Linked DNA regions of Saccharomyces cerevisiae S288C. The gene in region 1 interacts genetically with each later gene. Each region holds a gene or a part of one and is shown in the gene's direction. Other genes may lie near its edges.

Evidence for each region. A genetic interaction does not mean that the proteins touch.
Region 2: mutations in HAP3 (region 1) and ZRG8 together harm fitness more than expected from each alone (negative genetic interaction), as found in Saccharomyces cerevisiae (2 studies listed by BioGRID).
Region 3: mutations in HAP3 (region 1) and RCO1 together harm fitness more than expected from each alone (negative genetic interaction), as found in Saccharomyces cerevisiae (4 studies listed by BioGRID).

The regions. Positions count from the first base shown.
Region 1 is NC_001134.8:181,160-184,052, reverse strand, and holds HAP3 (Hap3p), read left to right. Parts: upstream 1-1,958; coding exon 1,959-2,393; downstream 2,394-2,893. Other genes in the region: RFT1 (glycolipid translocation protein), read right to left, coding at 1-1,652; ATP-dependent Lon protease PIM1, read left to right, coding at 2,778-2,893. UniProt on the Saccharomyces cerevisiae protein: Acts a component of the CCAT-binding factor, which is a transcriptional activator and binds to the upstream activation site (UAS2) of the CYC1 gene and other genes involved in mitochondrial electron transport and activates their expression.
Region 2 is NC_001137.3:217,262-222,910, reverse strand, and holds ZRG8 (Zrg8p), read left to right. Parts: upstream 1-1,623; coding exon 1,624-4,854; downstream 4,855-5,649. Other genes in the region: EDC2 (Edc2p), read right to left, coding at 1-272; YER034W (uncharacterized protein), read right to left, coding at 508-1,065; FIR1 (Fir1p), read right to left, coding at 5,218-5,649. UniProt on the Saccharomyces cerevisiae protein: Involved in the integrity functions of RAM, a conserved signaling network that regulates maintenance of polarized growth and daughter-cell-specific transcription.
Region 3 is NC_001145.3:412,021-416,831, forward strand, and holds RCO1 (Rco1p), read left to right. Parts: upstream 1-1,961; coding exon 1,962-4,016; downstream 4,017-4,811. Other genes in the region: DNA-binding protein ABF2, read left to right, coding at 1-100; IRC21 (Irc21p), read right to left, coding at 248-853; SDD2 (Sdd2p), read right to left, coding at 1,016-1,453; YMR075C-A (uncharacterized protein), read right to left, coding at 3,668-4,033; sister chromatid cohesion factor PDS5, read right to left, coding at 4,176-4,811. UniProt on the Saccharomyces cerevisiae protein: Catalytic component of the RPD3C(S) histone deacetylase complex responsible for the deacetylation of lysine residues on the N-terminal part of the core histones (H2A, H2B, H3 and H4).

The DNA.
Region 1 (2,893 bases):
ATTAACGCTAACAATCCCATTGCGAATAATACGTTAACAACAAATTGTTGTAAATTTTTAACGTACCCAATAAACCACCAGTCAAGTAGACAGATCGTTGAGCCAGCAATAATAACTGTTTTGAAATCCTTAAAATTGAAGAAAAAAGAGGAATCTGTAAACAGTTCCCTATGAAATTTATTCAAGAAAACTCCACAATACAATATTCTCAACACCATGTTAATGATGTTACTCAATATCAAGCCTTCGATTGATAGTTTGAGTTTTTCAATAAGAAGCCAGGAATTGAGCAGGAAAATACCAGAAAAGGCCATCATAAAATATGAATGTTTCAAAATTTGGTCACCAGTGGCTACACTCTGGAAAAAAGCTTCAAAAATACCATTAAGCGATAAAAATGGGATGTAAAAGCAGTAGACTCTTATAGTGTCCAAAACGGAAGTAGTGGACCATTTCGAGCCAATCAAGAACTGCAATAAAAAGGATGAATTGGCAGGCCCAAATACAATGATCATTAACGATAAGTATATGTAAAACCTTGTTAAATTCACCAGGACTTCAATAGATAGTTTTAAATTTTTAGGGTTATGCGAGGATAATAAACGGGCCAAAAATAACCGCAGAGATTCTTCGATCGGCGCAAATAATAATCTTGTTAGTAGCGATCCATAGTTCGACAATAGAGCGTAAATGCCTTGTTCTTCCACAGTACATAAAGAATTGATAATCAACTTATCACCCTCTGTCAACAAATGCTTAAAACATAGTTGAAAATAAACTTTTTTGAAGTGCTGTAAAATGTCGTTTTGGAAAAAATAAGATGTGCTCTTTGGGTAGCCTTTCTTCAATTCGTTATTTTCACGCGTTTTTATCTTCGTTAGCCTGGTACTGAACAATTTCTTTGGTTTGAAATTCTTGAGATAGTCCCAGTAGTAACATGCTAGCAGGGTGATCGAATGTGCTAACTTTCCCAAGGCAAATGCCAATATGGCGATGCCTTCTTTGTCAATGTCCGATGTGACAACCCCCATTGGGTAGCGGGATTGCTGAACGGCATAAACAACTATAAAATTGACAATACATCCTGTAGTCACCGCGATGCTTTCAAATCTTGACCTTGCGGCATAGTTCAACATAAACTGGTTGACGATGAAGAATGGCTCGCTTAACAGCTCCACGATGATACTCAGCCAGATAAGAAAAATCGACCACCTGAAGAATGGAAGAGTGATGAAATACGCGTTGATGTTTCTGTACTGCCAGGCGATAAGACCAATGGACAGTGGAAACCCGATCCAAAACGGAATGTAAGCAAAATTGACTGCGGTTTGCAAAACTTTAGACTTGTAATGAGTTTCCTGGTACTCCTCCTCGTCGTCATCATCGATTATTCCATTACCGGAGTCTGAGATTCTCAACGTCGACAGACGAATCGCATCTCTGCTAAAAAATAACACTGTGCCCTGTATAAATTCTAGAAAGGCCGTGATACCGAAAATTCTGGGCGACAGAAACCTGATCAACAAATTATTTAGTATGAACGTTACCAGTTTGGTGAAAAGTTGGCCCATCATGAGGAAGGTAGCTCCTGTTGTGGACCTTTCCAAGATCTGCTCACTAGTAGAGGGCAATTGTGAGTTTTTTTTCGCCATTTTTTCTTTTCCTTCACTGACAAAAGCAGAATCAACTTCAAATCACCCTATCTGTGGCCCTTTACTGCTACTAATACGCATTGTCTTCTCCAGGCTGCGATTACTGCAAACCTTCTGCCAAAATATAGCACAATAGAAGTACCATATTACGTTCGATGCCACGACAATATCGCGCTACGTGCGTTTTTTGGTCCGCTCTTTCAGACTAAGTAAAAAAAGAGCTGCGAATAGTAGCTTTCCGCCAATCAAACTCAAGAGCAGGACTAAGCTAGATAGTAACACAAGTGGCACAAACCTCTCGAGAATATGAATACCAACGAGTCCGAACATGTTAGCACAAGCCCAGAGGATACTCAGGAGAACGGTGGAAACGCTAGCTCCAGCGGCAGTTTGCAGCAAATTTCCACGCTAAGAGAGCAGGACAGATGGCTACCCATCAACAATGTAGCGCGACTCATGAAGAATACTCTCCCACCGAGTGCTAAGGTATCGAAAGATGCGAAAGAGTGCATGCAGGAGTGTGTCAGTGAGCTCATTTCTTTTGTGACTAGCGAGGCCAGCGATCGATGCGCTGCTGACAAAAGAAAGACGATAAACGGGGAAGACATTCTCATATCATTGCACGCCTTAGGATTCGAGAACTATGCAGAGGTGTTGAAAATCTACTTGGCTAAATACAGGCAACAACAGGCGCTGAAGAATCAACTAATGTATGAGCAGGACGACGAAGAGGTGCCTTGAGAAGACAAAACCAGGTGGTAGATCGCAAAAGTTGCTAGCTGTCAGGATGGAATAGCACGGGGCTATTTCCTGCTGGTCGTTGGTTCTCGTGTAATTAATGAATGTAACGATATAGATAATATTTTATTGTTAGTGTGTAATGTATTCAATGTAATGTATGGGTGCTTTGTAAAGGGTGTATGATGTTTGCCACCGGAAGGAAATAAGTCAGACGAAGTCTTTTAGCCATGCTTTTGCATTGGTATTGCAGCAACGACAAGCTGATACGGTTACTAGGACACCTAAAACCTGATAATACAGTGTGCATTTGCAGCTGTTTCAAAGTTTAGTTGTTTTTTCTTTTGGTTTTCGAGGTGCTTGAACGAAAAGATTTGCAAATAGAGCATGCTAAGAACAAGAACCACAAAGACCCTTAGCACAGTGGCGAGGACCACAAGAGCTATCCAATATTACCGATCTATCGCTAAGACTGCTGCAGTTTCTCAAAGAAGGTTCGCATC
Region 2 (5,649 bases), on another chromosome or scaffold:
TTTTTAGGGGCCTTATCATGTAGGAAGGCATCTATGTTAACAGTGACCATCGTTGCCTTATCGTCCTCGTGTCCCGTCTTCGAGGTGCGTTCCCTAGGTTCTCGCCGCTGTTTTGTAGACTTACCGAAGTTTGGTTTCTTGCCATTGGGCAAACTCTGCGTCGGTGGAACTAATATTTGAGTTTTAGTGGGGCGCATGTGCTCCTTGGCGGAAGGAGGACTTTCCCTTGTGACAATCTTGACTTTTGCAGAATGTTTTGTCTCGGAACCCATTATGAGAGATATTTAATTTTGACTATTATAAAAACGTTTGTGTTTGAGTTTCTGTTAGTGTATAACTTTGTATGTAGTGACGTTATTGTCCGGTCTATCAGGAAGGTAATAGGGCACGGGAGGCCGTTGTTTTATAAGTACGGGCATAAGCCGCAAGAAAAAGAAACGTTAAGAACAAAGAAGAAAAAAAGGGGCGCTGATAATCTTTTCACGCAGTAACTGTCGTACCGCGCGATTAGAGCAGTCCATCAAGGAAATCCTGATCGGTCTCTAGTTCTTCCGGTAGATCGGTCGAAGGGGCACTGATCTTCTTGCCCGCACGATCATGATCACCTTGTACGTGAATGGGAACGACTAATGATTCGGGCTCAGCCGCTGTTATAGCCGATGTTGTATTCTGCCGTCCGAGCCAACGATTGAGCTCATCCGTATTCATCTGCTTGAGGTCTTTGATTTTCAAAGTATCTTTATTAGCAACATTATTGACGGCTGTGGCGTCGTCGTTCTGCTGGAGCCGATTTTTGAGGACGTCTTTTAGCACCTTGTTCAACTCTGCATTGGCGACTGCAGAATGCGGGTCCTCGAGTACCGGGTCCTCATAGTACCTGTCCTCGTTTGACTTCAGGGCGGGCTGTTCTTGGTCTTGATCTTTCTCCTCTGTGGTAGCTTTCTCTTCTTTTTGGCGGTTCAATAGCCGGTACTTTCTATCACTGGGTGTGGCATGTTTTCTTTTCAATTTCTGTTTATCTTGAAATTTTTTTCGATTATCCTTCTTTAAGCTGAATGCATCCATTGCGTTTTCAATTGTCTTGTTTTTTTTTTTGTTTTGCTCGTTTTAAGTAGAATAACGTTATTAGTTGTAGCATGTGCTCATCTCCATGAGGTTTCTCCTAATCACTTCCTTTCTTCTCCTTCACCCATACACCCGCCAGCTTTCTTCAATCCGGGTATCGGTTAAATGCAGAGTGCCTAAATGGGCTGCAGATTGACCACTTTGGGTTTTAAGCTTTTCTCCTGATCGCTTTATCCGGACATATTCTCTTAAACCGTTCTTCTACCCGTTTGGTAATACTTCATAAACACAATATGATATTGCTGAGAACGCATTTACGACTGCAAATCTACTATTGAAAACAATTTTAAACATCTGGTCCAATCCAAGGTTTAATAACTATCATTACTTGAGGTGCAACCGCTTTCTTGTACCTTAAATCTTAGCTGGTTATTTTCCTTTTTTTTTTTTTAGTTCCTTTAAGCCTATTTATTACCTTGCGTTTTCGCACAAACCAACTGTTTTTGCCCAAAAGGATCTGCATCACAAGACGCACACGCATAACTGGAATATTTCATCATGCGGTCTTTCATAAAAGCCCATAAGAAGTCCACGTCGTTTGATGAAAGCCCCAAGCGACATAGCAACTTCAGTGGCAATACTAATAATAGTTCTCAAAGGTCAAGTGATGACTCCTTAGACTTTCTACCATCTACACCATCACAAATGAATTACGATAGCATTCCACCACCCGCGAAACACTCACCTGGATTTGAGTCTTTCCATCGTTTGGCTAACAAGACTTCAAAGTTGTTCAAGAAAACTTCAAACTCAAACTTAAACTCGCATTTAGCTTCAACTCCAACCACAAGCACAAATCAGACTACTTCAAATTCATTTGTTCTCCAAAATCCACCCACAAAAAATACTGGACCTCCGCCGCCATTACCACCGCCGCTCTTTCCTTCCTCTTCTACCTCTTCCTTTTCACGTCATGACAATGAAAGTGAATATACTGCATATAAAAAAACTTCTCCTGCAAAAGATTTTAATAGAACCACAGACTCTCTGCCTGCTATTAAGGGCACAATTACTCATTCGTGGGGAGATTCCAAGGTCGAATCGCACGTAATAATATTAAACGATCCTGCTTCCCCAGCATCAAACACATCTGAAGCGACTTCTTCTAAACAATTCAAAACCCCTATCATTGGCAATGAAAATCTAACTTCAACTACATCACCATCTAACCTGGAACCTGCCATAAGAATATTGAACAAGAACAAGGGTAAACAGCAGGAAAATATCGACGATGCTGAGGACGGGTCATCTAAGAAGGAACATCATGTTTATAAAGCATTAGCGCTTGCCAAAAATAGAAACAGACAAGCAAGAATTCATTCTCATGATGATATAATAAATTTGGGAAAGGCTTCTCAAATGGATATGAGTCTACTAGCCGCTGCGTTTTCCGGAAATTCAACCACCACCATTAATAATGACCAATCTTCTAATGAACAAACCGATGAGAAAATATTAGACATCGAAAGAGTGACCACTACTTCCACTTTAACCTCTTCCGAAACCACATCACCAATAAACAAGTCACCTTGTTTTTATAGTCAAACACTTTCCCTCTCACCAAAGATACGACACGGCGACTTACAATCATCACCTTCAAAAGTGAACAAAAACGATAGTCAAAACGAGACCTTGAACAAGAAAAAAGTAAGGATTAGTCTTAATAGAAAAGAAGAAGAAAAGGTGTATTCCCTCAACAACAATTCCGATGAATACTCTGTCAATGAAAAAGAAACCCATAAAGCCAACGATTGTAATGACGAATCTTCTGAAAACGGTGATGGCGATAATGATCATGATGATGATTATGATGACGATGATGATGACGATGATGATGATGATGAGTCGGAATTTTCGTTTGAATATGCCGGCATAAACGTAAGGACATCATCTGTAAAGTATTACTCCAAACCGGAACCGGCGGCAAATGTATACATAGACGATCTATATGAGGATGAGAACTTTGATGACGATATGAATTGTATAGAAGATGATGAGAGTGGTAATGAGGGAAACGAAATATGCGGTTTATCGACTCGATTCGAAGAAACATCCTTGAAAAGCAATAAAGTCAAAAAGTTCAATGATCTTTTTAACTTGAGCGATGATGATGAGGAGGAGGATGGTAAAGATAACAGTAACAATGGAGATGAAAATGAGAGTGATAATCTTTATCAAAAACGATTAGAAAACGGGAAAGAAACTTTTAATGGTAACCATGGCGGACACCATGATGATGCATCTCTTGGAGAAACGGTTGACAACAAAGAGCAGTTTCTAATAAACGATAATGTCAAGAAGCCTATTCAAAAATACAATGACCTTTTCGATTTGTCTGATGAGGACGATAACGACGACAAAGAGATGTCAGAAGCTGAGTCTTATATGTTTTCCGATGAAGCTCCTAGTATAGAAAGTGGACCAGCAAATGCAAAATCAACACGGGGGATCTATAGTCAATCTAACAAAAATATCATACGTGATGGAAAGCCGAACTATAGTTTCTCTCTCAAAAGGAATAATTCGGATGATGAAACGGAGCACACTTCTGCAATAAAGGCTTCCCTTACAGGTACTACTGGCTCTACCAAGCCTACAGTAAAGTCGTTTTCAGATATATTTAATGTTGATGATAGTGCAAGTGACGCTGAAAGTGATTCTGGGACAGGAGGGAACAATTCTAACGGCTTAGTATCCAATGATTCAGAAAGGCAGGTCTCCCTGCAAAGTTCTTTGTATGAAACCAAATCAGAATCCCATCCTCCCAATCATCCTCATTCGCAGATTCTTCAAACACCGGCTAAGATTGTAATAACTCCAAGCGTTTCTGATGCGCAATCACAAGCCCTTGCAATCACCGATGATGATGGTGAAGATGATGATGATGACACTAGTAGCATACTAAGAACTCCGTTTCAACTTATTGATTCCTCTCATTCACAGCAGCCGCACTATGCGAGCCCACAGTATACGGCTGTACTCAATAGCCCCCCTCTTCCGCCGCCAGCTAGGTCTCAATCACTAAAATATCATGACTTAAATTGCGATTTAGATTCAGAAGTCCCCAGACCAATGAGTAATCTCTTTTTCATTGATGAAGCTGAGGAAGACGAATACAATCAGAAAAGTAAGTTTTTTGATTTCGACCACTACGACATCGATGAAATTAATGGCATTCCAGAGGATTTTAACTTCTCTGATTCTGAAAGAGATGATCTTAATCGTCGTACACTGAAATCTCCTTTACGGGGCGGCTCCAAGAATAGAGAAGTCTCTCCTTTTTCATCTGTGTCATCGTCTTTCAGAAGTACGCATAGTTTTAATGGGAAATTAACGATCAACCAAGGGGCTAAAGAATTAGCTCCGATGAAAAATAAGATTGAACTTACAAACAAGACTGTCACCTTCTTTAACAGTAATAATTGGAATACTTATGACTGCAATTCACTCTCCCGAAAAACTTCATCCCAAATGAGAGATAGTAAATATCAAAATCATAATGTTGGTCAAAACGTAGAACCTTCAAGTGTTCTTTCGCCACAACATCAAATATCGAATGGTTTAGATGGAAAATGCAATGATAACTACGTAATCTCACCAAATTTACCGACAACTATCACACCAACTAATTCATTTACTAAACCCACACCGGAGTTCTCAAATGACTACTCATTAAGCCCTATTCAGGAGACACCATCTTCTGTTCAAAGCTCGCCAAAGAGAGCGTGAGAAAATACTGCATGTTTTTTATGCCCGTAGCCTCCACATTTCTTCCCTAGTAGGTGACTAGCTTTAAAACCTTTGCGTAATGTTCGTATTTGTAATCAATTGCATGTGCCAAGGATGATCTTTGGTAGATATAAAAGTACATATTATTAATTTGTTTTACAGAATTGGCATGTCTGAATATAGTTTTTTTAAGAAAGTACAAAAACTAGAAGTTTTTCTTACATGTAAGAGATATGAAATTTTGTAATGTCCGATGAAAAAATAAAATAGGCAATAAGCAAATTGCCATTCCGATAAATCTTCATGCGATGAGCTGGTCAAATCTGTTTACCAGAACAATTTGTAGGGTTGTTTTTTTTTTTTTTATTTTAGTTTGCGATGAGATGGAATGTCGTTATGAATACTGGACTGATACTTGTTCGGGATCAAAGAATTCCCTTTTTCATCATACAGTGGAAAAGGCAACGGCGGAAGTACTCTTGATTTTTTTGGCTTTGTTTGTTGTCCTTTTTCTGAGAATTTATGCTTCTCATTTACCAGTTGATAAATAATTCTTTTTGCATCATCTGCAGTTTTATCACACATGCCCAAAATTTCGTTGCAATGGCTTAGACGTTTCTTCTGTTGCTCATTTTTAGCTTTTTGAGCATGGCAGACTCTTGTTCGTGATATATCGTTATTTTTGAGGCCTACATCTTCATCCTCATCTAAAAGAATAACCTCAACCATTTTACCATCTCTTTTTTCGTAAATGGTATTAAAATCCAAATCGTGTCTATTTGAAGGAGTATTCTT
Region 3 (4,811 bases), on another chromosome or scaffold:
AGATAAATGGCAATCCTTGGATCAAAGCATTAAGGACAAATACATACAAGAGTACAAAAAAGCTATCCAAGAATATAATGCTCGCTACCCTCTCAACTAGACCGCGGTACTCTCACAATGTTTTTTATGCCTTTATTCTTTCCGTTCCTATCCAAACAAATAAATAAATTTAACTTAACCAAGCAAGTGTGTAGTGTTTTTATATCCTATGTAAGTCTTCAAACTTTTTTTTTATCTCTGGTAACCTTTATTCGCATACAACGCCAATGAAACAAACCTGTAATAATTTTTCATAGTTAACCCATTGATGATACTTATTAAAATATGTAATCAAATCGTCACTATTACGGTGCTTTATTAAGATGTCCGTACCACCTGGATGGAACTTCAAATAACTAGAAATGTCATAGACTTTGCCGTTTATAACGCACCATAACTCGTCCTCACCTTTACAATGCTTCTTTACGATTTTTCTGTTTATTCTTAAGGGTGGCATTATTTTATAAAGGGGTATCTTTTGGACAAGCAATTGGTTCTTCAGTTGTGAAGGTGAAAACTTGAAGTTATCTTTTTGAAATACCGGATCATCGAGTAAATCCTGGATAAGCTGTAGCGAAACGAATTTTGTATAATAATTCGCTGGATTGGAGGTTAGAGAGTGCCAGTCCAGAGCACTGTGCCCAGGATCTAGTCTTATTTTGGTTCTTACAAGAGGCTTTCTTGACGACTTCGACATGGGCATATGCAGCGGGGATGATATGGCAGGATGAGCAACGCTTAGTCGCTGAGGAGCAGCGAATCTGACATTTGGTTTCGAGTTTGAAACATCTCTGTTCATGCCGTCACTACTCATATCTCTATGAGTGTAATCTAAGCACCTGCTAATATGTTATATTCTGCTTATTCGTCCTTTTGCTACACATAATTAATGTAACTTTAACTCTAGTTCTATAAAGGATATGATTTGTACTAAATGTAACATTATACGAAAAAACATATTATTCGTTTATATAAACTAATCAAAGAAGTCGTCATCATCTTCGTCGTCATCATTTTTAGCATTCTGCTTGTCAAATGAATTCAGATCTTCGCTGAAATCTTTCCGTTCGAAGATAATCTTACTGTTATTTTGTGAATTTTGTTGCTTGGCGATACCATTCAAGATTGAAACAATTTCAGCTTCAGTGATTTTATGAGTGACGTTGTTTGTAGCAATCAGTTTCTTTAAGTATGTCTCTACTGCTTGGGCCCTGTCTCTACGGACCAAGGCCACTCGAGATAATCTTTCTAAAGCTTGTGGCTCCAAGAAATTTGCAATAGCTGCACCAACGGGAGCGGAATTTTCACCTCCACCATTATTAGCACCGCTATTTCTATCGCCGTTGGTACCCCCACTGTTGTTTTTCAACTGAGCCAATCTGGCTTCCCTAATAGCTTGTAACTCTGGGTCCATATCTGAGCACACACTTCCTCCTGAATTGTAATCCAGAGAGCAAGAAGATTTTTCAACTTTTACTCTTGGTTCTCCTTGTAGAACCACAAGTGGTATAAAAATTCTCGCTTACCCAGCCCAAAAATTCTCATCTGTTTCTCATCTGTTTCTCGTCCGAATAAGTTTCCCGTTCGCAGCTAGGATTTCACCTGCTCACCATAATAGGCAACTTTCTTCCTCATGTAGGAAATTATACTATTGCTCTCTGTTGCAAGGTTATTTTTGAGCCTTAATACCATATTAGTAGATATAAATACATATATATCGTGTTAACCCATAAGTGGTAGTTTTAGTAGCTCGCTGCAAGATCTGCCTCATTCCTTTGTAGAGAACGACGTACCCACTACGCGTTTGAACATTTGCAACAAGCACGAGAGGAAGGAAGAAGAATACCAAGTATAAACGAGAATAATCACCATAGAAAAACCTATAAAAGACACTTCCATTACCATCTGCTAATAATAATACAATGGACACCAGCAAGAAAGATACTACTAGGTCGCCCTCACATTCCAACAGTTCTTCTCCTTCATCTTCTTCTCTCTCTTCATCTTCTTCCAAAGAGAAAAAACGTCCTAAGAGACTATCCTCCCAGAATGTAAATTACGATTTGAAAAGGAGAAAGATCATCACTTCTGAAGGTATAGAAAGATCATTCAAGAACGAGCATAGCAATCTTGCAGTTGAAGACAATATCCCGGAAGAAGAACCCAAGGAACTTCTTGAAAAGGACTCCAAGGGTAATATCATCAAACTTAATGAGCCATCCACCATCTCGGAAGATTCGAAGGTATCTGTCACTGGATTGCCGTTAAATAAAGGTCCTTCTGAGAAAATCAAGCGAGAGTCTCTTTGGAATTATAGAAAAAATTTGGGAGGCCAATCGAACAACTCAGAAATGACGCTGGTCCCCAGTAAAAGATTTACTCAGGTGCCGAAAAATTTTCAGGATTTGAACAGAAATGATTTGAAAACGTTTTTAACTGAGAACATGACTGAAGAGAGCAATATACGGTCAACTATTGGTTGGAATGGCGATATAATAAACAGAACTCGTGACCGTGAACCTGAAAGCGACCGCGATAATAAAAAGCTATCAAATATTAGAACCAAAATAATACTTTCAACGAATGCTACCTATGATTCAAAAAGTAAACTATTTGGCCAAAATTCCATCAAGTCAACATCGAATGCGAGTGAAAAAATTTTCAGGGACAAGAACAATTCAACCATAGATTTTGAGAATGAAGATTTTTGTTCGGCTTGTAATCAGTCAGGTTCTTTTTTATGCTGTGATACATGCCCCAAATCCTTTCACTTTCTTTGCTTAGACCCACCAATTGATCCGAACAACCTGCCTAAAGGTGATTGGCATTGTAATGAATGTAAGTTTAAAATCTTCATAAATAACTCAATGGCAACTTTAAAAAAAATTGAATCCAACTTCATTAAGCAAAATAACAACGTCAAGATTTTTGCTAAATTACTTTTCAATATCGATTCCCACAACCCAAAACAGTTCCAGCTACCAAATTATATAAAAGAAACCTTTCCTGCTGTGAAAACGGGTTCGAGAGGACAATACTCTGATGAGAATGATAAGATTCCATTAACTGATAGACAATTGTTTAACACTTCTTATGGCCAAAGCATAACTAAATTGGACTCTTACAACCCGGATACACATATAGATTCAAATTCAGGTAAGTTTTTAATTTGTTACAAATGCAATCAAACCAGACTAGGTTCATGGTCTCATCCAGAAAATTCAAGATTAATAATGACTTGTGATTATTGTCAGACTCCATGGCATTTGGATTGTGTACCGAGGGCTTCTTTCAAGAACTTAGGTTCAAAATGGAAATGTCCTCTACATTCCCCAACTAAAGTTTACAAAAAGATACACCATTGTCAAGAAGATAATAGCGTAAATTATAAGGTGTGGAAAAAACAACGATTGATAAACAAGAAAAACCAACTTTATTATGAACCTTTACAAAAAATAGGCTACCAAAATAACGGGAACATTCAAATCATACCAACAACTAGTCATACAGATTATGATTTCAATCAAGATTTCAAAATTACACAAATAGATGAAAATTCCATTAAATATGATTTTTTTGATAAAATTTACAAATCAAAAATGGTTCAAAAAAGAAAACTCTTTCAATTTCAAGAAAGTTTAATAGATAAGTTAGTATCAAATGGATCCCAAAATGGCAATAGCGAGGATAATATGGTCAAAGACATAGCCTCTTTAATATATTTCCAAGTTAGCAACAACGACAAGAGTAGTAACAATAAATCGGCTTCCAAAAGCAATAACTTAAGAAAATTATGGGATTTGAAAGAACTGACTAACGTAGTCGTGCCGAACGAACTAGATTCTATACAATTCAATGACTTTTCCAGCGATGAAATAAAGCATCTGTTATATTTAAAGAAGATTATCGAATCCAAACCAAAGGAAGAACTGTTAAAATTTTTAAACATAGAAAATCCCGAAAACCAATCCGAATAGAAACGGCGTACATACATAAAGAATAAATCAGGAACGTGAACACCTTCCTTACATATATACACACATACATAGGCATATGTATCGCATCTTAAAGTGAGAGATCTACCTATTTTCCTTTTTTTTCCATTTACAACATAGCAATTGATGTTTTTTTCCCTTCTAAGTCATCTCGATGTCATCATCTTCATCGTCTTTGTAGTCAACTTCTTTCCTGACCCTCAATTTCTTCATCACAATATTTTCGTGCCCTTTCTTGGTTTCATTTTTGTTAGACGGTGAATAACTGTCATCATCACTGTCTGATTCTCGATCCCCATCACCTTCTTCGTCGTCAGCCTGTGATCTCGCATGATGAACTTTCTTCTTTTTTTTTTGTGATTCATTGTTTTCGTGAGCTAATAACCTCTTTTGAAGCCTTTGTCTTTGAGTTTGTGACGTGTGAAGAATCCGTCCGATTTTAGCTTTTATATTGTTTTGTATTTTTTCAGTCAAGCTCTCTGGTATGTATGTTTTGAAAGATAACTGGGCCTCCTGAACCGTTGCAAAAGGTTTGAACAAATCTGATGGTAAGTTTAATTTACCTGGATATGCTGAATGTTGCCAATTTTTCTTCTCTTTTAAATTCAATAGAATCATTTGCGACAGCTCACCTATGATATACATTTTCTGACCGTAAGGTCTATGCTTCTTTGGCGCTTCTTCTTTTTGTGGTCCTTCTTCTTCATCAATTTCATCCTCAACTAACTTATCTTGATAGTTTTTTACCCTTTCTGATAAATAATAGAGCAAACTGAA